Neurospora crassa OR74A: one gene and its partners. The protein of the gene in region 5 purifies or fractionates together with the protein of the main gene of each other region. This does not show direct contact. Links are inferred from orthologs where the notes say so. Each region holds a gene or a part of one and is shown on either strand. Other genes may lie near its edges.

Region 1 (3,515 bases), on a different chromosome or scaffold from region 5:
GGTGATCCCCAGCCAGCTTCAACCCCGTCACGTTCTCCAGCTCATCAACCGCCTCAAACGCCTTTCCCAACCCAACCTTGATAGTCCTAAACCCAGCCTTCCTCGCCGCCTTCAGATTCTCCCCAATGTCATCCAGAAACACAACATCCTCCGGCCTCACCCCTTCTGCCCAACCGCCCCTCTTCCCCCTTTCGGAGTCAGCATTTGCCCTCGCAAACTGATCTACCTTTTCAAGCGCCAACTGATAGATCCTCGGATCCGGCTTTCTTAACCCCACATGCGCCGACGAAATGAAAACATCAAATAGCTGTCGCAACGGATCGCTGAAGAAGTCCCCCTTCTCCGCCCACTTGTGCCCCTCCGGCCAGATCACCGTATTACTCAGTGCCGCGACGACGAACCGTCCGTCTTCCTTGAGTTTTTGGAGGGCGGGAAACATCCAGGGGTCTGGAGCTCGAGCGTGCTCCATCATGTCGTGGAATAGCCACTCGCCGTCGATTTGGGGGATGGGCGGGATCGATAGTAGTTCATCAGAGCCAGAAGAAGAACCAGAAGAAGAAGAAGATGAAGAAGATGAAGAAGATGATGATGATGATGATGATGATGATGATGATGATGATGATGATGATGAGGAGCGGTGATGGTGGTGGTGCTTTTTGGCTTGTTGGTGGTGGTGGTGGTGAGACCGGTAGAAGGATTCCCAGAGGGATTGGTTGTGCAGGTCCCGGTTGAAGCCGGCGAAGAAGGCAGCGTCCATGGGAATGGAACCGGTTTCGAGACGGTGCCAGAAGCCTGAAGGGGCGGAGCGCGAGATGGAGTGGTTGATCCAGCCTGGGGGGATGGAGTGACGGAGTTCGTAGTTGAGGATGGACTGGAAGGGGGAGATGACCTGGGTTTGTGTTAGTTATTTAGTTATGTTGGTGTTGTTTTGTGAGGGGTAGATGTATTTGTGTATATAAGTGAAGTGGTGATGTGGTCATGTTGACTTACACAGACGCCGCCAATGTCAAAGAGGATGACTTTGGGCTTGGGGGACCCGGAGGACCTTTTCCCTTTGAGGATGGTTGGCGCCATGTTGTCGATGGCTTCAAGAATGTATTCAGGGGGAAACTCTTCAGGAAGCATCACACTATAATGTCATGGGACTTTGGGGGTATAAGGATGTTTGGATTCATCTATCAACAACATTGGACCTCCGCACATTGGCACCAGGAAGCGATTAGTGAAGTGAATGGTACACTATACTAGACCTCGGTTCGGGACAGTGATTGCCAGAGGTCGACGGCTACTGAAGCCCGAGACTACTTACAATGCCATTGGCAGAGCCCACAATTGCCTGCCGCTTGCGTGAAATTCTTGGCGCTAGGTCGTCGCCCACCGTGGCGCCACGGCAAAGCATGGGTGAGTGAATCGGTCGTCGCCAACCTGAGTTGACAACCCAGCGGTCAGCCGACCAATCAGGCGCGCTCTTGTTCTTAGGGTTGTGGGGATTGTAGTGCGAAATTCCTGCCCACCAAAGTTTGTTCGCGATCTCGAAATTTCCCTTCTGACAACCCAGCCCGTCTCAAGACCGTTTGTTGAGTGCACCCAGCAAAAGTAGTCAAAATGGTAAGTTGACGACCTACGGCGTGCGTCGCGGCCGTTCAGCAATGAGCGACCAGCGGCTGCGTTCAAATCACACACCATTCCCAGAGGGAAACTTGGGGGAAATTGAGGAGAAAGAGAGTCAACGCAAGATGCTTCGGAGAGGAGGAAATATTCTGAAGCGATAATTGCTGACTCGGGGATTTTGATTGTCAGGCCTTCCACAAGCTTGTCAAGAACAGCGCGTACTACAGGTAAGCAGATGTTCTCTTTTTGAAAATCCGAGAAAAATCGATAGGAGCTCGGGGTTCGCTAACATTCAATCCGCCCAACAGTCGCTTCCAGACCAAGTACAAGCGCAGAAGAGAGGGCAAGACCGACTACTATGCCCGCAAGCGCCTCATCACCCAGGCCAAGAACAAGTACAATGCTCCCAAGTACCGCCTGGTTGTCCGCTTCACCAACCGCGACATCATCCTCCAGATTGTGAGCTCCGAGATCACCGGCGACAAGGTCTTTGCCTCCGCCTACTCCCACGAGCTCAAGGCCTACGGCATTGAGCACGGTCTCACCAACTGGGCTGCTGCCTACGCCACCGGTCTCCTCCTCGCCCGCCGTGTCCTCAAGAAGCTCGGCCTCGACGAGACCTTCAAGGGTGTTGAGGAGGCTGACGGTGAGTACAAGCTCACCGAGGCCGCCGAGACCGACGATGGCGAGCGCCGCCCCTTCAAGGCCTTCCTTGATGTCGGTCTTGCTCGCACCTCCACCGGTGCCCGTGTCTTCGGTGCCATGAAGGGTGCCTCCGACGGCGGTATCTTCATCCCCCACTCCGAGAACCGTTTCCCCGGTTACGACATGGAGTCCGAGGAGCTCGATGCCGAGACCCTCAAGAAGTACATCTTCGGCGGTCACGTCGCTGAGTACATGGAGACCCTCGCCGACGACGATGAGGAGCGCTACAAGTCCCAGTTCAACCGCTACATTGAGGACGATCTTGAGGCTGATGGCCTTGAGGACCTCTACGCCGAGGCCCACGCCGCCATCCGCGAGGACCCCTTCAAGAAGGCCGAGTCCGAGGCTCCCAAGAAGACCAAGGAGGAGTGGAAGGCCGAGTCCCTCAAGTACAAGAAGTCCAAGCTCACCCGCGAGCAGCGCGCTGCTGGTGTCCAGGAGCGCATTGCCGCTCTCCGCTCGGAGTAAATTGGAAGTTGTTATGGACTTTGCTAGGGGTTGAACAACCTTTTGGGAGGAAACAGGTTCTGTTCATTCGATGCGCATGGGTGCGAAATCATCTGGGTCATGGGGATGACATGGTCTCTCAAAAGGGTTCATCTAAAAGCCAATCAACTTTCTTCTGTCTTGAGCAAAAGAGCATTACTCGGCGTTCGTTCATGTGATACCTCAATCGTAATTTGATCTTCCTTTTCCCATTTGAGACTCGACGCTGTCCATCTTTTCTTGTGATTGATTACCTTTCCAAAATCTCCAAAACCGGTGCTGACCGACGGCAAATTCTCGTGAAACACGATTCATGTAAAGTCATCCATACTCTCTCACTTCCACCGCCAAGCAATGTCATTTGCTTGGGGATGAAGATCAACTTTACAAATCTCACGAGTCATTGACCCCTCACGATTCATGGTAGGTTGCTACTGTGCGCTACATGTACACTATAACTCGATACAGGTTTGTTCGTTGTTTGTTAGTCCGAGACCTTCTAGCCAACTTGTCCCGGCCTTTCAACAAACAATTCAAGGTTGATGTGTGTTTTTCTTATCGATGACGGGATTCTCAAGATGAGTAGAGCTAAGGTATGAATTCATATCTAATTGGACAAACTGGACAAATTCTGTTTTTTTGCCTCCCCCTCCCCTTCCCCATTTGTAACTTTTATATATTTTTCTCCGAGTTCCATTGATCGCGCGGCATTC
Region 2 (4,011 bases), on a different chromosome or scaffold from region 5:
CATAGGACCAGTGGCAGCTCCCGTCCGGGCCTTCGAAGGATGCTTCAGAAAAAAGAAAAAAAAAGGCTTGCAGTGTGCGTGGTTCTTGCTACCTCTGGTCTGTTGCTTCGGGAAAGTGAATCATATGCCGTCTTCGAAAGTTACATATTCGTAACTCTGAACATCAACGGCTGGTTCACTAGCTCCAAACGTCATGATTAAACAACGTCTCTCTAGGTTGCCATGAATGCATATCACTATCCTTGTCTATATCGTGGCACCTATGTAACGCCCTGCATGATGCGCGCAATGAGAACCATTCCATCAAATGCTCGCATCTATCAAACCTCAAATGGATACCCCCGGACATCGCTTAACATGACCACGTCTCTGTCTATCTATGGTGCTTTCCATTTTCCAAATCTTTCGAGCGTCTTGTTGGTCTTGGTGTGTGGTCGCGCGGTTTGGTAACATTGAACTGGCGGCGGGAGATTTTACCGATTTGCCAGGCCCATTCCATCGCCTCTTTCGCTCTTGCCCAGCGATTCGGAAAGTTTGGCAGAGGCGCAGTCGGTAAGCACTTAACAGCCACACAACATCACCACCCTGCGAGTCGAGGTGATGTGTGCAGCCGTGTTGCGTATTGACTCAGCAAGGCCTCTTTGGTGAGCCGATACTAGTAGCTAGGCTGACGTCAAGGAAACTTGGCTCGCGAAGATTGCCGTGAAAGTTGTTTCTGGCAGATACCTGGGCATGTAGTATCCCAAGCCGGCTCGTTCGTGCGAACGGCAAACTGCTGCAAACACCACGGAAGCAGGCCAGAAGTCATATCACCCCGCTGAGGCCTCCGCGAGTGAAGTAGAGCGGGGGCTCTCGGGTTCCGACTGCTGGCTGTAGGAGAGTAAGGTTCGTTCTTGCCCTCTTCTTTAGTTTCTCCATGTCCTCACGGCCTTATCCTTTCCGCCTGATCCTACCATCTTGCCATCCGGCGACCAGTCCACAGCGTATACCTGGAAGCGAGTTAGAATTTTCCAGCAGTGGGAACACCGATGTCGCCGTGATTTGGTTCACATACCTCGTCTTCGTGTCCGGGAAGGTCCATGGCGAGAGTGCCAGTGCGCACATTCCATGCCTTGAGGGTAGTATCTTTGCTAGCCGTAATCAGAAGCCTGCTATCGGCGGACCAGGAGCATTGGTAGACCTGAAGTATCAACGCGTTAGAACTTTCCCCTCGTGGTAAGAGATGAATGTGGGTAAGGAACTCACGGGTGCAACATGACCCCTCAAGCTCTTGAGGAACTTGCCATCCCTGGCATTCCAGAGCTTCACGCTGTTATCCCAACCAACCGAGGCGATCAAAGTGCCATCGGGAGAGAATTGGACCTGGTTCACCTTGTTCTGGTGTCCCAAAAGTCTAGCAACGGGCTTGGTACCGTTGTTGGTGGGGTCCCACAGGTACATGGTAAAGTCGTCACTGGCAGATACGATGCGCTCAGCAACCTTGCCATTGATCTTGGCCGCTCTCTCGAAACGCTCCTTGGCCTTCTCCCTCCTGCCCTCCTCGGTGGAAGGGACGTCCTTGGTGTGGTCAAAGTAGGCGGTCCTCAGGGCGTGGTCGCTGGACAAACCAATATGGTTGATCCAGTGGGCGTGAGATGTCAAGCTGTGTACCAAGGTGCCCTTGACGGCGTCGAATACCCGGACAACCTTATCGTGCGAACCCGTGTAGATGAGGTCGGTTCCACCCCATCGCACGCAGGCGACGGAGCTCCTGTGACCGCTCAGGACGTGCTCGGTACGGCCTGTGTTGACAACCCAAATCCTACAGGTACCATCCTTGCTAGCACTGGCAATCCTAGGGGTGCCGTCTCTCCACAAGTGGTACGGCTGCCACGCCGTCATCAACACCCATTTGGCGTGGCCCTTGAAAGGCTGACCAACGGGCTTGCCGGCCTCGGGATCCCATATCCTCACTGTGCCATCCATGCTGCAGGTCGCTAGTTGCTCTCCATCGGGTCTCCAGCTGACGCCGAGGACCCAGCCGGTGTGCCCTTTCAATGTGTGCTTCGGGGTACCTGTATTTGTATCCCAAATACGAGCTGTGTTGTCGCCGCTGCCGGTAGCAAGGCGTCCGGATGAAATAGGCGAGAACTGGGCTGCGAGGATGGGTTGGCCGTGACCGGGAATGCGATGGGCAAGGCGCGAAACTGCTTGTACCCTGAAAACAGCCTGGGGCTCGGCACTAAGAGTAATTGTGGTTCTATGCGGAGGTTAGCGAAGCAGTTACGTGCTGGGCTTCCTGTGTCCGGGTCTTGCATACTCGAAGGGGTTCTCGACACCATGCTGCTTGAGAAGGCCGAGGAGGTCGGAAGGGTACTGGTCGACAATGATATCCTTGCCGGGAATATGGATGCGGAATCGGTATGGGGTGAACTCTTCGCGGTCCCTCTCGAGCAGGGTGTTGAGCAAGACGGAGATGTTCTTTTCGGTGGCATCGGCAAAGTTGATTTCGATGACATCGGTCATCTGGTTGCCATCGCTGTCGACGAAGTTGGCCTTGAAGGAGCCGAGCTCAGGCGCCAGTATCGGGGCGACATCGAGCTGTGTTGTGGTGCGCTCAATCTCCTCTCTCTTTTGGCGCTTCGACGGGGGTGGTAGTACTGTCGCCATCTTGGATTATGTTGTGCCAGAAGTTGTCGCTGAAAGTGTGTTGCGATACTCGCCCGACTTCCAGGAAGTGTTGATGGATTGGGGGCCTTCTGGGTTTGCACTGGACTTGCTGCCCCTGCAAAGGCTGGACCCAGCAGAATGCGGACAGTCCAAAATTTTGGCGGTGATGGCGTGCAAAACTGGCTTGGCATGTCCAGTTCCAATGGAGCTCTGACCCACACTTGCTTTCCCCATGTCTCCACAGGGGCATCACGAAGCTGGGCCAGGGCTGTTTACGATTTAGCGCTGTTAGTGCGTCTGCATCCAAACCTTCCACTTGAACCATCGGGCATCATCCCATGTCATCATCATCCCATCTCCAAACATTCCAACACTCCGAGTCAACTCCCACTTGTCGTCACCACTGCTTCCCAACAGCTGTTATACTGTATACCCTACGTGATCTCCCATCTATGTATGAACCCAGCATGAGCATCGCCCGGCTGTTCTTGACTCCTCCGGAGGGGATTCATGTTCCGACATGACGCCTTTTTGTTTCTCTATACTACTACACAAGGCACAAAAATTCATTTCTCTCCCTTTGTCTAGGTGACCCAGACCCTCAAATATCGCCCACGTCCAGAGGAATCGCTATACCCTGGATTCCCTTCACCAGGATACTCGTCAACTATCTCTACTTATTGACCAAACTTCTCATTCCCCTCGCTTCTCATTGACCGGCAGTCCCGATATTCCAGGCTGCCCGGGTTTTCGCTTTCCCAATGCCACTTGCAAAGTATTGCGGCTGCTGCTGGTCCCAAGTCGGGTACGGTCACGGCTGGCACTGGCTCTGGTACTAGCTTTGATACTGCATCTGATGCGGCCTCTGCTACGACAATTACTGATATGGCTGTTGGCAAAAGCCTAAACCTCCTTAGTCAAGACAAACTACTCCTTCGGTCTGGGCCTCAACCATAACCGTTCATCTGTCATCCGAACCTAGGTAGCCTACACACTCCGACCTCCCATCCTAAATTCTGTCTTCACCCTTACCCAACAGAGCTAGCCAACCTTGGATTTGGCAAGTAAAACGCTGCCACGGCGATAATGAGGTAGGCAGATGCCAAAAGTGCTCCCTCGAGGTAGTTACTCCTCCCATCTCTAACGAGAAAATTCACAATGAAGGTGCTAACGAACATGCAGACAGTCTCGAAGAGGGTAAAGTAGAGAGACATGTCTCGATCCATGATCCAGCCCAAGATAACCACTACCGGCGTCACAAACAGCGCAATCTGGATACTGCTGCCCAGTGCCACGCCCAGTGCCAAGTCCATCTTGTTCTTGAGTGCCACGCTCACAGATGTGATGTGTTCAGCTGCATTG
Region 3 (3,503 bases), on a different chromosome or scaffold from region 5:
TTCCTGCGCTTTCCCGGGGCCATTAAAGCTAGGATCCCGAGACATGGGCAAATCGCTTCTTTATATCGCTTCGAGTAGCTCTTCGTTGGTACGGTATCAGCGTTTCGTTGACCGTTGAGTGGTGGCAAGTGGGCTTGAAGAGTACAGAAGTTACTCGTCGGTCTGGATAGAAAATACCTGCTTTTGATTCTTGGAGGCTGGGTTGACCCTGGAGTGATGAAGCTCGGAACTGCTCTCCTTCTAAAATCAAGATACAGAAGACAAGCTAGATGCTCTGAGCTGATGTAGAAGTCAATGTGTTGCCCTTGCGTTAGTTGCTTGCGGTGTTGCATGTCAAATCGACCAGCAAATTTCCATCGACTCAGGATGCAGGGTTCCATACAGCCATTTAGACCTTTGTAAGGTTAATCGCTTGCCAGCATAGTCTGCTCGAAACCCATGGGAGTCAACCTAGATCAAGCGCAGCAGCAACCAGAGAAGATATATCTATGTGTCTTATCGTATTAATCCATGTCTTCTAAACCATCAGGTGATACAATCAACCAAAACAAATGATCGGAGGGTATAATGTTCTACCGCAGATTGTGTGTGTATCTTAACCACTATACTACCTAAGTGAACCCCCGGACGAGATATTTTGCGCGGCCGTGAGTGTCGATCCTCTTTCAAAACACCAGACGCCAGTCCCAGATGCAAAATCAGATTTAACGCAATCCCGTTACAGTTGCCGCCCAAGAGACTAGACATATAATTAGACAAATCAAACCATCACCCTCTTCACTCTTGCGCTTAAACCAGGAGCACAGCGTTCAAGCATCCGTCGTTCTGGTGGAAGTTAAGTATTAGCAGTTCGTCCATGTAAAGTTAAGAGGCGGGGTTGTGCTGGTCATACCTCAGGGTTGTTGGTGATCTGCGCATAACGACCCCAGGCAATTTTGCCCGACGCGGTGACCATACCAAGATCGGAAACGTTGACCTCGATAATAGTACCCTTGGACAGAACACCAAGCTGGGTATAAAGGGGGTTGCTGGGGTTCTTCTTGACGCCGAGAATGGGGAGCTGAACCGTGACATTGAGGGTAGGGTGGGTGACGTTGGCCTTCTTGTAACGGAGACCCATGGGCCGGATGAAGCGTTCGTACTTGACTGGGCGTCTGGTGAAATCGGGTCCGACGAATGTTGGCTTGGTGACGACGCGCTTCCAGCCCTTCTTGTGCACCTTCTTGCCCGTCTTGACGACCTTGAAAAGCTCCTCTTCGCTGATACCCTTGACCTTGGGAATAGGGACCGAGAAACGAGCGGCCTTCTCGGCACGCTTGCTCTTGATCTGGGAACTGCACGAAGAAAACGGTCAGTCTCTCGTCATCGTATGGGACCCTTTCCAACCTCCATGACTACTGCCATCATTGCATTCACATTGGCCTCCACCTCCGCCGCGGCCGTTCGCTTCTCATGTGTCCTCCCATTCAAGTGACGTACCTCAAAGCCTTCGCACTCGTGGGGTTCGAACGGTCGAGCAGATAAGCGGGAACGGGGTTCGAAGGGTCCTTCTCCTCGGGGGCGCCCTTGACATTGCGCTCCTCGTGCTGCTTGATGGCCTTGCGCATCTGGATCTTCTGGGCATGACGCTCCTTGGCAAAGAGCTTGGCCCTCAGGCCACGCAAGTTCTGTGCATTCTCGCTCTGCTTGTGACCCTCACGGGCAGCCTTCTTGCGTGCGCGCTCCTCGGTGTCCAGACGCTTACCGTGAAGCTTCTGGGCGCGTTCTGCGAAACGAAATAATTGGTTAGGGACTGGAAACAGGTCGACGGTAATCAAGATCGAGTGCGAAGGGAACTATACCGATGTATTCGTTCTGAGGCTGTATTCAGGAAAACGTCGGTTAGCATGGTCTGCTCTCAAGTGATCGGAAGGGGTCATGATGTTGAGGAGAGTGGCTGTGGATTGGGAGGGCAATTCGAAGAAATGATATCCGTACCATATTGGTGTTTTAGGCCCTTTGAGGGTCTTGCGGTTCAAGATATGTGGCGACGCAATCTGGCCTTCAGATGTTGTAGGGCGACGAAGGGCGACGAGAATGACGATGCGGTTTAGGTCAATATGCTTCAGTACCTCTACCTATGCGAATGCCTGCTGAACGGACGTCTTGAAGCCGATAAAAAAACCATTCAAGGCTAGCTTTCCTTATCGGGCGGCTCCTCCAGTGGCGGAGACCCGTAAAGAGGTGGACATAGTGGGGCAGCTTCATCACCTGTCATTGGTTGATATCTACTTAACAGCATGTCCAGGAAAACGTGGAGTGGGTTCGGATGAAGGTGCCTGCCAGCTGCAGGGCATTGGAAGTGCACCGCGGCAGCCAGAGCCGCCCGTTGAGGACGAGAACCTTGATGGAAGGCCAGTGGACAACTTTTGTATAGATCCGGAGATCACCTTACCATTCGTAGAATGGCTCCTGCAACTAGGTTATTACCAAGGGACACTAGTTGTGTGGCTCGCATAACCCGCTTCAACGAGCACAGTAGGTATGTCAACAAAGGCAAAACCCAAAGACGTGGTATGCTTGGGGGTGTTAAGATATCTAGATATGCTACACCGTGTCATGACAACCTATACTATAATTCGTCCGACGGGCTCTATTGCCAGCCAACGCCCGCCAATGAAACCGGAATCCGTGCAAAATGACTAAACTCCAGACGCTGATGCAAAATGTTTCTGGGTGTCCGTCCTGTCTTCCAGCCAACGCCATTGCAAAACCGTCTCCAGAAAACGAATTCCTGCCTTGAAATTATCACGATGCGCCGAAACCTTCCCAATTTAGAGGCAAAAGAAAGAAGGAGACACGCCACGCAACCACGACATATCAGCGGTCTCCGGCTCTGGACTTGAGTTTTGCAAGTGCTGCCCGCTTTCTTTCCTCCTTCTCGCGCTTCAACCTCTTCTCCAGCGCCTCCTGCTCCATGTCTTCTCTGCGAGCCTGCAACTCTGCCCGGCGTTCCTCCGCGTCGATGTCGGACAATCCCGCCTCCATGTCTGAGTCATCCTCTTCCAGTGACTCGTAACCACCGCGACGACCATAGCCGTAGCCATCGTCCTCATCTTCGTCGTACTCGATGAAATCGTCCAACTCTTCATCCTCCTCCTCGCGTCTCCGGGGACGTGAGAATGAGGCGCCATAACCGGACAGCCCACGGCCCCTACTTGCGCCTGCCGAGGTGGATGCTCCTGGTTTTGTGGTGGTGGCCCCTGGGCGGGGACGTGCCGTGCCTTGGTATCCAGTCGTCGCTAAAGCAGCCTTCTTTACCTTCTTCTCCTCCACGGCATTTTGGCCTGTCTTGGACTTGGCGCCAGCCGGGGCTGAGGGGGTGATACTCCGCTGACGGTTCGCAGTCGTGCCGTTGGTACCATTGCGGGTTGGCCCAGCTGTCACACCGCTCCTCCCGGTAGTCGGTGGCCTTACATCCTTCTTGCCCTTTTTCGCTTCCTCGGCCTTTAATTCCTTGCGTT
Region 4 (4,209 bases), on a different chromosome or scaffold from region 5:
CCAAACCTCTCCTGCGCATAGCGTTGCGCTTAGCGCGCTCCATGTACTCCTTGTCCTCACCATCATCAAAACCGCCAAAGTCATCCTGGGCTTCGCACTCGGCACCAATGGGCGTCTTGTCGACAACTTCTTGGGCTTCCTGGGAAGCTTGGCCGTCCAGAGGCTTGTTGGACTTGTCGACGCCGTTGGCGCGGACAGCAGTGGCGGGCGTGGGGCCGAGTTTCTGGAACTTGGCGACGAAGAAACCGTCGACTGGAGGGTTGTGTTAGTGATGAAGGAGGGGAGGGAGGGAAAGGGGGTATAAGGAGGCGAAACGTACCGTTGTAAAGATGGGGGTAGTATCTGCGGGTGAGCTTGAGGCTGGGGTGGAATGATTTGCCCATGAAGCTGGTGAAGCCTTCCTTGCCGAAAGCCAAGCCAGTCTCGACGAGCTTGACGTTGGGACGGCGGCTGAGCGCATAGGCAACGACTTGCTCACTGTTTGTAATCTTGGGTTAGCGTCTTCTGAAAGTACAGTTAAGAACGATATGGAAAACGCACTTTTCCTCAACGGCAACGGAACACGTCGAATAGACAACGTAACCACCAGTCTTGCTGGCATGGTCAACCGAGTCGATGGCAGCCAGGAGAAGCTGCTTTTGGAGATGGGGGAGCTGCAGGAAGTCCTTCTCGTCTCTGTTGGTCTTAACAGAGGGATCCTTGGCAATGACACCAGTGCCCGAGCATGGGGCATCGAGCAAGACTCTGTCAAAGCCACCCATGACCCTGGGGAACTCACGCGCATCGTAGTTGCATACGATAACGTTTCTTGCGCCCAGTCTGTGAATGTTGCCGATCAAACCTTTGGCACGCTGCTTGCTGGGATCGTTCGCAAAGATCACACCGGTGTTCTTCATCAACGCCGCCATATGGGTGGTCTTGCCACCGGGGGCAGAGGCCATATCGAGAACACGCTCACCCTCCTGGGGGCAGAGAGCCATCACGGGCAGGAACGAAGACGCGGCCTGGAGGATGTAGTGACCAGCCAGATACTCAGGCGTGGCACCGAGGGGAACGCTTTATGCCCCAGTTGTTAGCCATTTGCATGAATCGCGTCGTTGTAGTCCTGATTTAGAATATACGTACTTCGAGTCAAAGACTTGCAGACCGACCTTGGACCACTTGCCTACAGGCTCGAGTGTGACACCGCGGTTGATGAGTGCTTGGGCAAGATCGCGGCGATGTGTTCGGAGGGTGTTTGTACGGATAACGACGGGGCGGGCACTCTCGTTGGCTTCGAAAAAGGCGAACGCCTCTCTGGGAGGGAACAGGTTGCTACAAACAGTCAGACAGTTTCCCCACTGGTGGTATCGCCGCAGACAGGCATGCGACAGGTTGTAAAACATACAAAAGCTTTTCAGCGAGGTACTCGTTGTAACCGTAGTCTGGCAAAACCTGAAGTTAACATTTGTGCATTTCACGAGAAGTATTGCGCAAGGAACATCGGGTCCTTACAGGCACAGATATCCTTGATGAGTTGGCTGGTGTACTCGGCGCGACTCTTGCCCTCTTCCGCCGAATTCGAAAAGTCGTCCAGGATACGGATGGCGTCTGTTATCCTCGTTCTCAACATCTGGAGATCGGGTGCCAGCAAAGTTTTGGTCTTAGTCTGAAGTTGGTCGTCGTCATCACCGAGGTCATCACCACCAGCGATGTTGGTCTGGAGCGCCTCGTCGCGCAATTCGGCCTCGTTCTCCTCTGCTTCCTTCTCTCTTTGCATATCCAATTTCCTCGAAAGACCCTCGATGTTGGCGGCTGTGAGCTTCTCCTCTCTATCCTCTTCGTCATCCTCATCGTCAGAGAAGACGAATGCCTCCTTCTTGGTAGCACCGTCCTGGTCGGAATCGTAAACCGAGTCGTCGTCAGTGCCGAGGAAATCGTCTCCTAGCTTTTGAACGTCCATCTCATCGCCGTCGATATCAAGGCCCTCCAGGTCGGACGCGCCAAACTCGTCGTCCATCTCCTCGTCATGATCGGGCGAAGGCTGCTTTGCCTTCTTAGGCTTCTTGGACTCCTTGGACCTGTGGGCGGGCTTTGTGCCAGTCTTCTTCACCTCCTTGACCTCTTTCTTGGCGCCCTTGACTGCGACAGTGTTGGAGCCGGATGTCTTGGGCTGCTTCTTGACAATCTTCTGCTTCTTGGATCTTCTAGTGTCGACTTCGGTCGTGGTTTCGTCAAAGGGAATGCCCTTCTTGCGCTTGAGGTTGGCGAAGTGCTCCTCCGAGAGGGGCTCAGGAGGGCCCTGTTTCTGCATGCGACGTCCGACACCCATTTTGATGGTATTGCTGGTCGTCTGGTGGTGATTGGGATGTTGTTGGGGTTGGTTTGAACACTGATAGCCCACCATCGACAGGCGCTTGTGGATATTTCTCCGGGTCGATTTTCTTTTCTGAAAAAGCTTATCGATAGCAATGCCAAGTCTCTTTCCTCAAATCGGGTTCCACCTCACTGCGGTCCCAAAAGGTGAGCCATTGGTCAGTGCCCCACATTAGTCAAGCTGGGCCAAGTTCGGAATCCCTGTAGCAACAGCTGACGCTACCCCTGGAGCTGGGCTGTTCTGGAGTAGGGAACAGCTGCCCCTGGAGCCCGGCATGAACGGCGCCCCCGGAGGCAGGCGGCCTGGAGGTATAAGGTACCTAGAGGTAGGAAATGGAAGGACCGTCTGACGGACCTCGCAGGAGAGGCGATCAATGCGGGCAAAGGAAAGTAGAAGGATGACGGGATGAGGGCGGGCAACCTGGACCGGGCGGACAGCTTGAAGCGAAGGGGGCAGGCAGGCCTCCCGGGCAGGCGCCTGCCGCCTGGTCTAGGCGCACCCGACGCAGGGGGAAGCACTGAATGGAGCCGGCGCCGGTGGGCGGTGGACGCCCCGGCCGCGAGGTCCCGTGTTAACACATCACTCAAAAGCAGGCAGGTAACCTGAGAGGTACTAGAGGTACCTTCCGTCTGCGCTGAACAGTTGCGGCATGTACAAACACACTGGACAGCTGGAGAGGCATCTCACCTCAGCACCTTCCATCTTTCCTGCTGTATCTTTCATCTCTCACGGTACTAACTTCCCGTAACAAACGACGTCTCCTCTTGCTGCTTTGCATCCTTCAACAACCGCGATTCTTCTCTATTCTTTCTGCTGGAGCATTGAAGTGAGGTGACATCGAGGTACCTGCTCGCCTTTACTTTACGTATCTGTAACTGAGCGGCAAATCGCGACTCACCTCTCACCCACAGTTTGGCGGCGGGTTTTACTGCGTACCTGCCTTCTGGACCTTGCGTTAATCCTTCCACCTCCAACCTCCTACCTACCTCTACCTACCTGATTCATCCGTCCTCTTTCCCCCTCCCCATTTCTCGGGAGCTCGGTCATTTTCCCCCCAAAGTACAACCAACCACCACCACCACCGCCTCCTTTCACGTCGCCGCCATTCCATTCAGTCCACGGAGCTTCACGAGCCTCCATTTCCCCAATCTTTCTACTTCCCAGCGGATTCACCTTCCAGCCGCTTTTGATAAGTTGGCTGCTAATCTTCGTCACTCTGCGCGCAGCTTAGCGCAACACCACCGCCCATCATGGCTCAGGCCCTACCCATCAAATTCCAGGAGCTGCTGCAACTCAGCGCCCTCGGCATCAACCAGACTGCCATCACTTTCAATACCTGTGTACGTTGTCCTCACCTTGCTCTGACTCTGCTAGTGACAGTTGTCGCGCCTCCTCTGGCACCCCTGCTGACGTGAACCCCCCGCTCCCAGACTCTAGAATCGGACAACTGGGTGTGTATTCGCGACAAGAAGGACGAGGCAGCGTCCCCTGAAGTCATCATCGTCGATCTCAAGAACGGCAATAATGTTATCCGACGTCCCATCAAGGCCGACAGTGCCATAATGCACTGGACGCGCCAAGTAATTGCCCTCAAGGCCCAGGCGCGCACACTCCAGATTTTCGACCTCGAAAACAAGGCCAAGCTCAAGTCGACAAACATGAGCGAGGATGTCTTGTTCTGGAAGTGGGTTAGCGAGACCACGCTTGGCTTGATCACAGATGGCTCTGTTTACCATTGGGATGTCTTCGACCCGAACCAGCCCGCTCCGGTCAAGGTCTTCGATCGTAATGCTAATCTCCAGGGCAACCAAATAATTAATTATCGGACCAGCGCCGACGGAAAGTGGATGGTT
Region 5 (3,482 bases):
GCTGGCCGATGCCTTTTCCATGCCCAGCAAACAATCGGCCAAACGGTCCAGGCCACCGGCATGGGGACCTTGTTGTTGACATGGTTCTGCGCCTCCAATCTCTGTTCAACTTCAACTTTAATCTGAACCCCACCCCGCCGGTTCTGTAGTGTATGTACACTACCAGTATACCTTTAGACTATGTAAAAGCTTTTCGTTTTCGCGGCGAATGACTCACGCAACACAAGTGAGGATCCGGCAGTCGAATTGGGGCGGCTTATGGTAAAAAGGGATAGGCAAAATTGCGGTTGCCGCGTGGCTGGGCTCACACGGCGTGCAACCCACCGACCGATCAAAAAGACCTCTCGCCGTCAAGATTGGGGGGACTTTAGTTCTCTGGCAGCTTCCAAACTCTTCTCAGTCTTAAATCCGAGAGGAAACGACCGATTGGCGCACCAAGTGCGAGCTTGTTTATCTATTGTCTTACCTTATCGGCCAAACCAAGACACTTTTCATTAGCTGCGTGCCGTTCAAGTCGGTACGTACCTATGTTGTTTTAACCCGTTCCCCGGATTTGCACTAAGCCCTACACTTGGCTTGACATCACACTGCGACAAATCATCATGTCCATCGGTGGCCGGTTGCGTTCCCGACAGCATCTCATCTTCTCACGCAATGAATTCAGGTGCCCTTGGCAGCATCACTTGACATCAAAGGAGGGGCTCGTCTTCTTTTCGTCTTGACATTCGTGTACTGTCCAAGGGCGTGTCGTTTGATGGCAACCACCGGGTGTCTTGTCTTCAACGGCCTGACCGTCGTTGTGAAGCCGCGGGACGAAACGCCAATACCGGTTGCTCCAGATTAGCTCACACATTCTCCCGTATATCCGTCAGACAAACGGGAGGGAGTCATCATTCGTGAAACCTGAGGAAGTGAGCCCATGGCGAAGGTTAACCGAACACGCGCTGTTTTCACACTGTCCAATTTGCCGGGATAAGTGAGCTGAATCCACGGAACTTGTTTGAATGCTTTCGATATGGTAATTCCCAGGTCAACCTCTTCAGGAAGGGCTTTGGTGTCCAAGCAACAGGCGCAAATGACTGCAGGCGAGCTACATAGGCCCGAGGACAACAGAGGATGAGTCTTGTGAGTTGTCGACTATCGAGGTGCGCGTTTCCATTAGACCTATGATTGTTTGTTGGAGACATGGAAAAGGAAAGCAACATAAGTGCAATTCATGTCTATCGTGATTATCGATAGAAGAAGTCAAGCAAATGTCAAAAGTTGGGAGGGAAACGATCAAAAACGAATCTCCAAACAACGTCGATACACCAGGGGAAACACAACAACAGGGATGCTGGCTGCACAGTTCAAGGTGGGGTAGGCTGGCCGCAGTCCATTTGGGTGGGGCCTGCCAAAATCAATTGTGGGGGAAAGCCTATCAATGGCTCACCGCCCAAAAGTTTCGCGCGGCAGAAAAAAAACAAAAGTCAGCGATAGGCGACTGCACCACAGCACCGCCGGCACGGCAGAGGCTCCCGTCCCGTCTGTCTGCGTATCAATTGGTGATTCTGATCCTTCCATTCCACTTCCACTCTTGATTCATTTGGGTAGTTGTCATAACCAAAACCAATCTACACCACCAACAACCATCTTTTCTTTGCCACCATAGTTCTGTCTCTGTATCGGCATTGTTATTGTGCGCTTCATCTCTTGTAATCTTTACATCCATAACCACCCACACATACCGTCAAGATGCCCAAGTCCAAGAGAGCGAAGGTGTACAACCTCACCCAGGTCACCAAGAAGAACCGCGAACAAAAGGAGAAGCTCTTTGAGAACATCCGAGAATGCATCCCCAACTACCAGCACTGCTTCGTCTTCAGCATCGATAACATGCGCAACAACTACCTGAAGGATGTCAGAAAGGAGCTGAACGACTGCCGGTATGTTTGTTATTGTCCACCTTCTTCCTACTCAGTAGCCGAATCCAATCGCAATCGCAATCATTGACTAACACTTCTTCTTCCCGTGCTACAGCATCTTCTTCGGCAAGACCAAGCTCACCGCCCGCGCTCTCGGCACCACCCCCGAGGACGCCCAAGCCGACGGGCTCGACAAGCTCTCCAAGTACCTGTCCGGCTCCGTCGGCCTCATCTTCACCAACCGCGACCCCTCGGAAATCAAGGACTACTTCGTCAACCTGACACAAGTCGACTTTGCGCGCGCCGGCTCCGTCGCCACGCGAACCATCACCATCCCCTCCGGTCCCTTGTACTCCACCGGTGGCGAGGTCCCCGCCGAGCACGACGTGCCCGTCTCCCACACGCTCGAGCCCGAGCTCCGCCGCCTGGGCATGCCCACCCGCATGGTCAAGGGCAAGGTCTGCCTGGGTGACGAGGCCGGCGAGGGTGACGATTACGTTATCTGCAAGGAGGGCGAGACGCTGGATTCCAGGCAGACGAGGCTGCTGAAGCTGTTCAGCATCTGCTTGAGTGAGTTCCGTGTCAAGCTGCTGGCCTACTGGAGCGCGGCGAGCGGGGAGGTTACCGAGTTGGAGAAGCCTGGTGAGGCTGGTGCTGAGGAGATGGAGGAGGATGACGAGTAAGGGATGTGTTCATGAATGATACCCTGAAAAGAGGGACGGTGTGTATGTGGTTGCACTTGACGAAGCGGTTGGAAAGGTTCATGATATCAAGAAATCTGCCGTACGAGAAGGGGAACTCCCTTCAACTTACAATAACGCAACATCGAGGGACCCAACAAGAGGGTGTGGGGAGGGGACCGGTCAAAATTTTTGCAAACGTCATTATTTCTCGTTTTTTTACTACTTGGCTTGTTTCCGTGTTTTTACATAGGGAAAGGTTTACGATGATACCATCTTTGTATGGAACTTCTTCTTTTGGGGAACATAAAACAACCGGTCATCTTAGTTTATGTATTACCAGGCGTCTTAAGAGATAGGAGGGGGCAAAGGCTCACGAATAGAAAAAGGCTTCAAAGACAATGTCCTGTATGTGATGCTGACTTCTTGTGATGTTCATCGTTGTGGCACGGCTGGTATAACGAATGATCAAGTCCGCCAAACCATTACCAAAGAGAAGGACAAAGTTGTGTCTATACAACAAAACTCGAATGTGCGCAGTATTTACTTGCAATATCACGGAACCACCAAGCCCTATGACAATTTTCCTCAAACGTCAAAAATAAGAATTGAAAGAGTAGAATAACCCAACCACAGAGTGCTCGAAGAGCTAGCAGAGATGTAAGAAGGCAATACAATTTTCGAACCTGACATGCATCATCATCATCATCTCCGCATTCCACTACACAAACTTACCAATTCTAGAATAGTTTTTCAAGGCCCTTTCCATGTTGACATCGGACACCAAGTTTCTTCCTCTTCTTCTTCTTCTTCTCGCTCAAAAGCGAAATGAAACCAGGTCAAATTCATTCAGTCTTTAGGATATGCAAAAGGCTGATGTATAACCCCCCATCTCCCA
Region 6 (4,200 bases), on a different chromosome or scaffold from region 5:
ACACACCCAACCCAACCCAACCCAAACATATATGGATCATCGATCCAAATTAACGACGCTGTGTCTTGCCGACGGTACGCTTGCCGGAGAACTATAGAAAACATGTGTGGTTAGTTTAGGAATGAAAAGAGAAAAGAGAAAAGGGGGATTGAAGGAAGGGGAAAAGAAAAGAAAAAAGACGTACCAAATGCTTGGGCATGGTAGCACCAATATGCCTGTCGGCCTCGCCGGCTCTGGCCATCCTGTTCATCTTGCGCTGGCCGAGCTTGGCCACCCTCTCGGCCTTGGAGCGGGCTGTCTCCCCGTCCATGCCCACACCACCAGTAACACCGTCGTCGCGCCTGTTTGTCGCGCCCTGGCCACGCTGGGCCGGACGGCTCTGAGAGCGAAGACGCTCGGCGGCGCTCTTGGGCGTGTCCACCTCCATGGCGTCGGGGTCCTCGGTGGCGTTGCGGCTGCGGGCCAGCGAGCGGCCGCGAGTGGGCTCGCGCACCTGGGCACGGCCGCGCAGGTTGATCTCCTCGGTGTCGACGCCGAGCTGGTCGATGTGGTCCTCGAGCTGGGCGAACGACTTCTTCTGCATTTTCCGGGGGATTATGGCGCGGTTCTTGAGCGACTTCTTCATCTTGGCCTCGTTGCGGATCAGCTTGTGCTTCTCGCGGATGTACTCGGCCTTTTGCAGGATCTCCTCCTCCGACTCGTCGCCGAGGTCCGAGTCCGACTTGTAGAAGCCCTCCTTCTCGAGACGCTCCTCTTCCTCTTCGAGAGCGGCCAGCTTGGCCTCGATATCGGGGTCGATGAAGTCGTAGACGTTCTTGCCGTCGACAATCTGTTCGTCAAAGCGTGACATGTTAGTAACCGGGTTTAATTTGGGGGAGACGGAATGCGAGAGATACTGACCTCGGGAATCTTGTCGTACTTCCACTCGGGGTTGGCCAAGATCCAGTTCTCCCTGAGATCGACGTTGAAGACACCAGCACCACCGTTCTGCTCCTCGATATCCCTGGCGAGAAGTTTCCTCTCGGGGTCGGCCTTGTCGTACTTCTTGAGACCCTTGACGGCCTCGGGAATGAAGGTCTCGCGGAGAACACCATCGGCGGGCTGGGCGACGTGAATACGGGACATGACCTCGGTGAGACGGGAGCCCATGGTGCCGTTGCTGCTGGTACCGGCCTTGTACTTCTGGTTGACACGCTCAACGAGGAGAGCCTCGCAAACGGTGTTCTTGACTTCCTGGACACCGTCCTGAGTAGCGCAAGAGGCGCGCAAAAGCTGAATGTTGCCGGACTTGGTAAGGTCCATGAGATCGGCCTGGGATTCGGGGTCGAGGTCCTCAACGGTCTTGATATCCATCTTGTTCAGGACAACGTAGACCATCTTGTTCTCGAAAAGGGGCTTGATGGACCTAAACAAGTTGCACTGGGCCTTGAGCGAGTAACCGCACTGCTCCGAGATATCGATGAAGAACATGACGGCGGCTCTGAGATGGGCAAGGGCAGTAACTGACTGCATTTCGATGGTGTTCATCTCTTCGAGAGGGTGGTCGAGAATACCAGGGGTATCGATGACCTGGTAACGGAGGTACTTGTAGTCGAGGTGGCCGACGAACAAGCTCTTGGTGGTGAAAGCATAGGGCTCGACAGGGGTATCAGCGCGGGTGACGGAGCGCACGAACGAAGACTTGCCGACGTTGGGGAAGCCGGCAACGAGGAGGGTACGGGTGGTAGGGTTGATATCGGGCAATCTGGCCAAATGCTGGCGGACCTGGTCGAGGTAGGCGAGAGGGTCTTTCAGACGCTTGATGAGGGTGGCCATACGACCGAGGGCGGCTCTCTTCAACTGCTTGCACTGGTACAAACTTTGCGAGTACTTGAGGAGACGGACGTAATCACGAGAGATGGTCTCGATCAAGTGCTTGGCGGTCGAGACCTGACCAAGGGCAACCTTGAAGTGGTCGGCATCTATCCATCACCTTGTCAGCCACTATTCCCAACAAGACCAGGCGCGGTTCACAACCCGCTGTTGCTGAAACCGCCTGTCGCAGGGAAGCGCGGGATTCGTACCGTAGAGAATGTTCATCAAATCGCGGTGGAAAGGATGCTGGTCGGCGAGGATGGGGAAGCTCGAGACGATGGCGCCGAACTTTTCGCTGCATGTTTCCTGTGTGAACTTGACCTTACGGGTGTAGAAGGCTCTAATTCTGCTGACTGTTCGGTGTCGCGTGTCAATGATCTATTCGAATTCTCATACAAAGTATCGGATATCGAGACGACATACTCTTGAAACCAGCACGAACTATTCAAAGTAAAGGTTAGCGATCATGCCATGCTTCACGTAATTTTCCACATTGTACAACATACTCTGAGTCGGCAAGCGACGCTGTGTCCTCCTGTTGAACAGTTAATATCCTTCACCACCGTGGCCAAGCCATTGGACTCGAACTCGAAGACTTCGCATCGTCGTGGTTGGGGGCTGCCGATGTCGACTTACGAGAGGATGATGTCGATGAATTCCTGTGCCCTGTAGAAGCGAGTTAGCGATGCCAAACAACAACACAACAACCAAGATGTCCTTACGTAGGCACAGGGGCAATGTCCTTCCACGTCATTTCGGGTATAGATGTCAAGCACTTGCTGGTGAGAAGATCTCGGACTGGAAGTGCAGGACAATGAGGTCGGACGGACGGTCTGAAGGATAGAGACCGGCTGCGGGGGGAGGGGGCGGTGTTGGAGGGCGACGGGGAGGCGCTGCGCTGCCAAATGGAAAGTCTACTTCGAAATATTTTTCCAGCGGCTGCTCCAATCGATAAGATAACAGCAGAGTGCCAAAGTGGATTGAACCTAGAGGTAGTGTGCGCTGCCAAGACATGCTGCCAAGGGGTGCTTAAGGATTCGGCTAGTGTGGAATTTAGGATTTTCTAACCCCACATTTTTTCAGGGACCCCACCGCGCCCAAGTGGCCGATGACCGGGCTTTCGCGGGCCTGGCTCCTGGAACTAGGTGGCCCACTCGTAACCCACCATCTGATTGACTCGGTTGAAAGACTGCCGCGTGTGACGCCGCCAGGAACTGAACCCTTCCTTCGGCCCCTCCCTCCATTTTCTCAATTTTCCCCAGGTTCCTCCAGCTATTCAGTTGCCAGGCAGACAGACGTCAACGCTGTTCTTCTGAAATCTCTTCTTCTTCTTTCAGCTTCAATTCCAATCCTACAAACACTACGTACCAGCACAATGGCCGCTCTCTCGCCTTACAAGGCTGACTTCCTCAAGGCCTCCATCGACGGCGGCGTCCTCAAGTTCGGCAGCTTCGAGCTCAAGTCCAAGCGCATTTCCCCCTACTTCTTCAACGCCGGCGACTTCTACCGTGCCGACCTTCTCCAGGCCATCTCCACTGCCTACGCCAAGTGCATTATCGAGGCTCACAAGAGCGGCCAATTGGACTTTGACATTGTTTTCGGCCCCGCCTACAAGGGCATTCCCCTCGCTACTGCTGCCACCGACAAGCTTGCCCAGCTTGACCCCGAGACCTACGGCAAGATCTGCTACTCTTTCGACCGCAAGGAGGCCAAGGACCATGGCGAGGGAGGCAACATTGTTGGCGCCCCTCTGAAGGGCAAGAGGATCCTCATCGTTGACGATGTCATCACTGCTGGCACTGCTAAGCGTGAGGCTATCGCCAAGATCGAGAAGGAGGGCGGCATTGTCGCTGGCATCGTCGTTGCTCTTGATCGCATGGAGAAGCTCCCTGCCGCTGATGGTGACGATAGCAAGCCCGGCCCCAGTGCTATGGGCGAGCTCCGCAAGGAGTACGGCATTCCCATCTTTGCCATCCTTACTCTGGACGACATCATTGAGGGCATGAGGGGTCTTGCCTCCCCTGAGGACGTCGAGAAGACGGAGGAATACCGCGCCAAGTACAAGGCTACCGACTAAACGCTGGAGTTGGATTCTCTGATAAACTAGTAACATGTATATCACAGGTTTGTTCGCCCAGTACCCTCTGACCATAGCCACAACATCAAACCTGTGGCTGACACTCTACAAGAAGAAGAAGATGAAGAAAGAAAAGAAGAAGAAGAAGGATAGGGATTGTCAGGTTCTGATTGCGCATCCAATCAATCTTTCCACCGACTTTGGGATCCCACACAGAAGGTCTAATCTGATTCCACAAGTTTGGGGACGCGCCGAAATATGTTGATTTC
Region 7 (4,146 bases), on a different chromosome or scaffold from region 5:
ATGTGGAGGGGGCCCCATTCCACCGATTGGGGCGGGTTTCGTGCAGTTCATCTGATGCGATGGAATTAATCTCTTCAGTGTCCTTATCCCAATCCTCGTCGCCGGAATCTTCTTGATTCAAGTGTGAAGACATTGCATGGCCCAGTTTAGTGGGTGCTCTTCCCGCGTTGGCAGGGTTGTTGAGTGCAAATTCTGGTGATCAATCACTAAGGACGGGAGTGACAAGAGATTGAAGGTCGAAGAACCGCACTGACGTACGAAAGCATCCCAGTAGTAGTACCACAGCAACAAGGATGGAGAAACTGATGAACCTCTGACTCCTCACTCAATTCTTTTACTTTGTACTCTCACCTTTCGTTGGTCCTATTTTCGGTTCGTTCCAACTTCTCTTGGGCGTTACGGTTTGGTTCGTAGCGACCCCTAACCCTCAGACGAAAGCCTCGTGGGCGCTCGTTTTCATGTCACGATTATTCACATTTGCATCAGTTCAGGACGACGAGTAGGATTCAAAACTTGTCGATTACACAAAAAGAAAAGAGAAAAATGAGCCTTTGGTATCCCATTTCAAAACATAAAGTGCTAAAAAATTACGCCTTGCCAGTGTTTTAACCTTACGCCTTCTGCGCCTTTTCCTTCTCCAGCTTTCTCCTCTTGGCGCGGAGCTTCTCGTCCTGAGCGCTCTTCTTGTTGTTGGTATACTGCATCTGCTCAAACAGCTTGCGCTTCTTCTTGCTCAGCATGCCCTTGGCGCGCTCCAGGTCCTCCGCCTCCTCGCGTGCCTTCTTTTCAAGAGCCTTGCGCTGTTCTAGCTTGGCTTTGGTCTTGGAGTCTACCTTTGTATTCTGCACCTTCTTGCCTTGGAGCTCGGCTTCTAGCTCAAGCTGACGCTGGAGGGTCTTGGACTCCTCCTCATCTTCCTCAGCATCCTCCTCCTCGGCCTCCTCGGCATCCTCCTCGTCACCCTCCTCCTCTTCTTCATCGTCCTCGGCCTCATCAACATCCATGTCGTTTTCGACATCGGAACCATCCTCAGCATTACCCTTCTCGGCATCCTCGAGGTCGGCTTCAATAGCCTCGGCCTCGGTTTGCTGAGCCTCAAGGGGCAGAGTAGGATCGTACTGGCCAGGGGCGGCCTTGACGAAGGGGCTAAGATGGGGAGGGAGAGCGGCGCCAGGAGCATAGAGCTCAGGGCTCTTGAGTTCCTCGTCGTTGACGCAGTCCCATACCCATTGGGGCTGGACATATATCCTGCCGGGGTATCTCTGGTTGGGTCCGACCTTCTGGGCCGTCTGATTGTCCTCGCCATCGCCATCCTCGTTGGTAGCGGCTTGTACGACTGGCCTGTCAATGATGTGATGGGTGATGGAGGGATCCGACTCGTCATTTGTGAAGGCACCCTCGCCGAGGACGGAATCCCAGCCTATCCTCTTGCAGCCAAAGGCACGAAGAATGAACTCGAGAGGCTGGCGGGGGGTCTCACGGGAGAGGTAGAATGTGAAGTTGGCGAACAGCTGCGAAGGGTCACTGCTGCTGTACGCCGGCTGAGGAAGAACATCACCACCAGGGGCAACTGGCTCGAACTTGTCGATGGAGTCTGTGGGCTTCTCCTCATCGTCGGCCTCGGCATCTTCCTCGGCAGTCTCGTCGCTCTTGGACTCGTCCTCCTTCAGTTGCTTGATAATCTTGTCAACCTCAGCCTGGACCTTGGGGTCAGGACCCTGCTGTTGTTCCTCCCCGTTTGTGACGGCCTTGGTCTCGCCCTGGGTGGCCATGTTGACACCCTCCAGAGAGAAAGCGCCGAGCTCAGCACCGTTCTCGTCCTTGAGCTGGTCGAACTTGGGAGGATACTTGAGGCCGATCGAGCTGTAAAGTCGGTAGTTGACGAATCCAAGAAGAGTCATGTAGAACTCGACGAAAGTGCCCATAATGCGGAAATCGACATCGCCGACGATCCTCTGGTTGAACTTGTAGGGAACGAGCCAGAGAATATCCTCGCCCTGGATGTTGGCCTGGTAGTAGATACCCTTGATCGACAGGAACGACTTGCGCAGGCTGTGGGAAACAATAAGGTAGTGTTGGAATTCGAGGCAGAGACGCTCGCAGCGGGCGATCATCTTGGCGGGAACCGCGCTCGTGGAAGGGAGGTTGGCGAAGAGGAAGAGCATGGACAAGCAGTCATCGAGATCGCGGAGCGCGTCGTTGAAAGTCGGGTAGCGCTCACGGATGACGTGGTTGAGAGTGTACCTGGGCTTGCCAGTGGCCTCGGGGCGGGCAGCATGGCGCTCGAAGCGGGCGGCATCCGAAACATCACCTCTGCCAAGAGCACGGGAGATCTTCTTCTCGAGCACCTTCTGGTCACGGAACTTTTGAAGAAGGGGCTCGTGGAGGAGGTACTGAATGTCCTTGGTGTAGTAGAAGGTGGTCGAGGCAGTGGCCGACTTGGAAACCTTCTTCTTGTTACGAGGCTCGCGCGGGTAGATACCCTTCCAGATGCAAAGCTTGCGGAAGTCGGGAAGGCTAAGCTGCAGCTTCTTCACAGCCTGTGTGCGGGTGATGTAGTTCTTGGCCGCGCCGGCCTGGCCCTTCTTCTTGATTTTTGGCATTTTGGGGTGTGGTGGTGGTGGTTGTGGTTGTTGGGTGTAGGTGGAAGAGTGAGAGAAGGAGAAGAGGACCAAGGATGGATCTCTTCAGTCTGCAGACTCGATCGTTATCGAAGCCAATTGTAGGTGGGGGCGCTCTGTGCACTTGCAATCAACTTTTTTTCTGACCCTCGCGGTCCTGAACTTTTTATGCCACTTCCCACCGCCTGAGCTGATCAAAGATAAGATAACGTAGCGGATGGAAAGACGGGAGGCATCAGATAGGCACAGATGAGGCTACTAGAATACATACTGGGCCCGTCTGGCCCAGATAGGTTCCCGCTCCCGTCTGGATTGGATTCCAGAACCCCTTGTCCCACAGGGACCCGCCAGCTGTGGAGGCCGGGCCAGCTGTCGGTCTGCTTTGGCGGGGACAGCGATTGACAAGGCGACCTAACGTGCTGGGCGCGACTCCTGTATAGCGCAACTGGACGGGCATGTCGTTAGAAGTAACTTGACCCTGGGACAAGTTCGACATCACAGCTCCCACCTCGTCGTATGGCGAATTGAACAATGAATGGCGGCAAGGTAACGTTGAGGAGGACGGCTGGCTTATACGCCGGTGCTGCCGTCCTGCGACTTGCCCTCTTTACTCTGTTCCCCGGTCTTCCAGACCTCCTGACTGGCCGTGTCGAGATCTCAACGCCAGTAACAAGCTTCAAGCGCCGTATGTTGTAGCTTTTGTTTTTCTCTTCGGCATTCGTCGCATCGTCTCGAGGAACACAGGTTTGCTAACTACCAAAATCTAGTCCAAGAAGGCCTCTTCCTGTATAACCATAACGTCTCTCCTTACGATGGCGGCGTCTACCACCAGGCGCCCCTCTTGCTGCCCATCTTCAACTTGCTCCCGAGCTTCGCGGCGTTTCCCATCTTCACGTACCTTCTCTACATCGCTATCGATATTCTGAGCGCCCATGCTCTTTTAAGGATTGCAGAGTCTGGCGAGGCCAGCTCGTCTGCGCGCTTCACCTCCCCGCGCCGTGACAAGCGTTGGAGTGGTGCCATCATTGCCGCGCTCTTCCTGTTCAACCCCTTCACCATCGCGACATGCATTGGGCGTTCGACCACCGTCTTCACGACCTGTGCCATTCTCCACGCCGTCGCCAATGCCATCTCCGGCAGACCCTTTCACGCCATGGTCGCCCTAGCCTTCGCATCATACCTCTCCATGTATCCGCTACTCCTCCTCCCGCCTCTCATTCTTCTTTGCTATGACAGGCAGAAGTTGCCCGCTACCGGAGCGCCCAATGCGTGGATCAAGTTTACCGCGACCATGGTTATGGATGCGTTTGGTGCTCTGGCAGTGCTTTTCCAAATGTCGTTCTTCCTGACCGGCTCATGGGAGTTCCTTAGTTCCACCTATGGTGTGCAACTTACACTGTCTGACCTGGCCCCCAATATCGGCCTGTGGTGGTACTTCTTTGTCGAGATGTTCGACTCGTTCCGTTCATTCTTCTTGGCCGTCTTTTGGCTGCATTTGTCGTCATATGTTGGCGGGTTGAGCGTG

Evidence for each region.
Region 1: the proteins of NCU07547 (region 5) and crp-4 purify together in Saccharomyces cerevisiae (affinity purification with western blotting; 3 studies listed by BioGRID, with this or other methods). This does not show direct contact. The link is inferred for Neurospora crassa OR74A from reciprocal best matches to the Saccharomyces cerevisiae genes MRT4 and RPL5.
Region 2: the proteins of NCU07547 (region 5) and NCU00794 purify together in Saccharomyces cerevisiae (affinity purification with western blotting; 5 studies listed by BioGRID, with this or other methods). This does not show direct contact. The link is inferred for Neurospora crassa OR74A from reciprocal best matches to the Saccharomyces cerevisiae genes MRT4 and RSA4.
Region 3: the proteins of NCU07547 (region 5) and NCU00981 purify together in Saccharomyces cerevisiae (affinity purification with mass spectrometry; 6 studies listed by BioGRID, with this or other methods). This does not show direct contact. The link is inferred for Neurospora crassa OR74A from reciprocal best matches to the Saccharomyces cerevisiae genes MRT4 and NSA2.
Region 4: the proteins of NCU07547 (region 5) and NCU02511 purify together in Saccharomyces cerevisiae (affinity purification with mass spectrometry; 6 studies listed by BioGRID, with this or other methods). This does not show direct contact. The link is inferred for Neurospora crassa OR74A from reciprocal best matches to the Saccharomyces cerevisiae genes MRT4 and NOP2.
Region 6: the proteins of NCU07547 (region 5) and NCU05289 purify together in Saccharomyces cerevisiae (affinity purification with mass spectrometry; 6 studies listed by BioGRID, with this or other methods). This does not show direct contact. The link is inferred for Neurospora crassa OR74A from reciprocal best matches to the Saccharomyces cerevisiae genes MRT4 and NOG1.
Region 7: the proteins of NCU07547 (region 5) and NCU00925 purify together in Saccharomyces cerevisiae (affinity purification with western blotting; 10 studies listed by BioGRID, with this or other methods). This does not show direct contact. The link is inferred for Neurospora crassa OR74A from reciprocal best matches to the Saccharomyces cerevisiae genes MRT4 and NOP7.

Annotation. Positions count from the first base shown.
Region 1 is NC_026505.1:5,646,510-5,650,024, reverse strand, and holds crp-4 (60S ribosomal protein L5), read left to right. Parts: upstream 1-1,430; 5' UTR 1,431-1,605; coding exon 1,606-1,608; intron 1,609-1,800; coding exon 1,801-1,838; intron 1,839-1,919; coding exon 1,920-2,784; 3' UTR 2,785-3,015; downstream 3,016-3,515. Other genes in the region: NCU04332 (epoxide hydrolase), read right to left, coding at 1-889, 991-1,125. UniProt on the Saccharomyces cerevisiae protein: Component of the ribosome, a large ribonucleoprotein complex responsible for the synthesis of proteins in the cell.
Region 2 is NC_026501.1:7,142,010-7,146,020, reverse strand, and holds NCU00794 (ribosome biogenesis protein Rsa4), read right to left. Parts: upstream 2,801-4,011; 5' UTR 2,650-2,800; coding exon 2,300-2,649; intron 2,240-2,299; coding exon 1,246-2,239; intron 1,181-1,245; coding exon 1,055-1,180; intron 990-1,054; coding exon 906-989; 3' UTR 203-905; downstream 1-202. Other genes in the region: NCU00795 (membrane bound cation transporter), read right to left, coding at 3,678-4,011. UniProt on the Saccharomyces cerevisiae protein: Involved in ribosome biogenesis. Required for processing and efficient intra-nuclear transport of pre-60S ribosomal subunits.
Region 3 is NC_026501.1:6,508,714-6,512,216, forward strand, and holds NCU00981 (ribosome biogenesis protein NSA2), read right to left. Parts: upstream 2,165-3,503; 5' UTR 1,981-2,164; coding exon 1,978-1,980; intron 1,861-1,977; coding exon 1,842-1,860; intron 1,766-1,841; coding exon 1,480-1,765; intron 1,335-1,479; coding exon 893-1,334; intron 826-892; coding exon 790-825; 3' UTR 501-789; downstream 1-500. Other genes in the region: NCU00980 (hypothetical protein), read right to left, coding at 2,860-3,503. UniProt on the Saccharomyces cerevisiae protein: Involved in the biogenesis of the 60S ribosomal subunit. May play a part in the quality control of pre-60S particles. Under normal, rapid growth conditions, high levels of NSA2 would allow the progression of pre-60S particles through the ITS2 processing.
Region 4 is NC_026501.1:2,564,276-2,568,484, reverse strand, and holds the start of NCU02511 (S-adenosylmethionine-dependent methyltransferase superfamily domain-containing protein), read right to left. Parts: upstream 2,801-4,209; 5' UTR 2,387-2,800; coding exon 1,495-2,386; intron 1,425-1,494; coding exon 1,388-1,424; intron 1,315-1,387; coding exon 1,126-1,314; intron 1,057-1,125; coding exon 541-1,056; intron 478-540; coding exon 320-477; intron 253-319; coding exon 1-252. Other genes in the region: NCU02510 (clathrin heavy chain), read left to right, coding at 3,607-3,696, 3,787-4,209. UniProt on the Saccharomyces cerevisiae protein: S-adenosyl-L-methionine-dependent methyltransferase that specifically methylates the C(5) position of cytosine 2870 (m5C2870) in 25S rRNA. Required for 60S ribosomal subunit synthesis and processing.
Region 5 is NC_026503.1:4,412,045-4,415,526, reverse strand, and holds NCU07547 (mRNA turnover protein MRT4), read left to right. Parts: upstream 1-1,499; 5' UTR 1,500-1,734; coding exon 1,735-1,925; intron 1,926-2,019; coding exon 2,020-2,587; 3' UTR 2,588-2,982; downstream 2,983-3,482. UniProt on the Saccharomyces cerevisiae protein: Component of the ribosome assembly machinery. Nuclear paralog of the ribosomal protein P0, it binds pre-60S subunits at an early stage of assembly in the nucleolus, and is replaced by P0 in cytoplasmic pre-60S subunits and mature 80S ribosomes.
Region 6 is NC_026504.1:5,445,455-5,449,654, reverse strand, and holds the start of NCU05289 (nucleolar GTP-binding protein 1), read right to left. Parts: upstream 2,801-4,200; 5' UTR 2,609-2,800; coding exon 2,577-2,608; intron 2,521-2,576; coding exon 2,491-2,520; intron 2,390-2,490; coding exon 2,361-2,389; intron 2,296-2,360; coding exon 2,278-2,295; intron 2,208-2,277; coding exon 2,064-2,207; intron 1,962-2,063; coding exon 901-1,961; intron 830-900; coding exon 185-829; intron 92-184; coding exon 50-91; 3' UTR 1-49. Other genes in the region: NCU05290 (orotate phosphoribosyltransferase), read left to right, coding at 3,230-3,931. UniProt on the Saccharomyces cerevisiae protein: Involved in the biogenesis of the 60S ribosomal subunit.
Region 7 is NC_026501.1:6,705,681-6,709,826, forward strand, and holds NCU00925 (pescadillo), read right to left. Parts: upstream 2,732-4,146; 5' UTR 2,604-2,731; coding exon 612-2,603; 3' UTR 501-611; downstream 1-500. Other genes in the region: NCU00926 (hypothetical protein), read right to left, coding at 1-133; gpit-2 (glycosylphosphatidylinositol transamidase 2), read left to right, coding at 3,153-3,306, 3,389-4,146. UniProt on the Saccharomyces cerevisiae protein: Component of the NOP7 complex, which is required for maturation of the 25S and 5.8S ribosomal RNAs and formation of the 60S ribosome.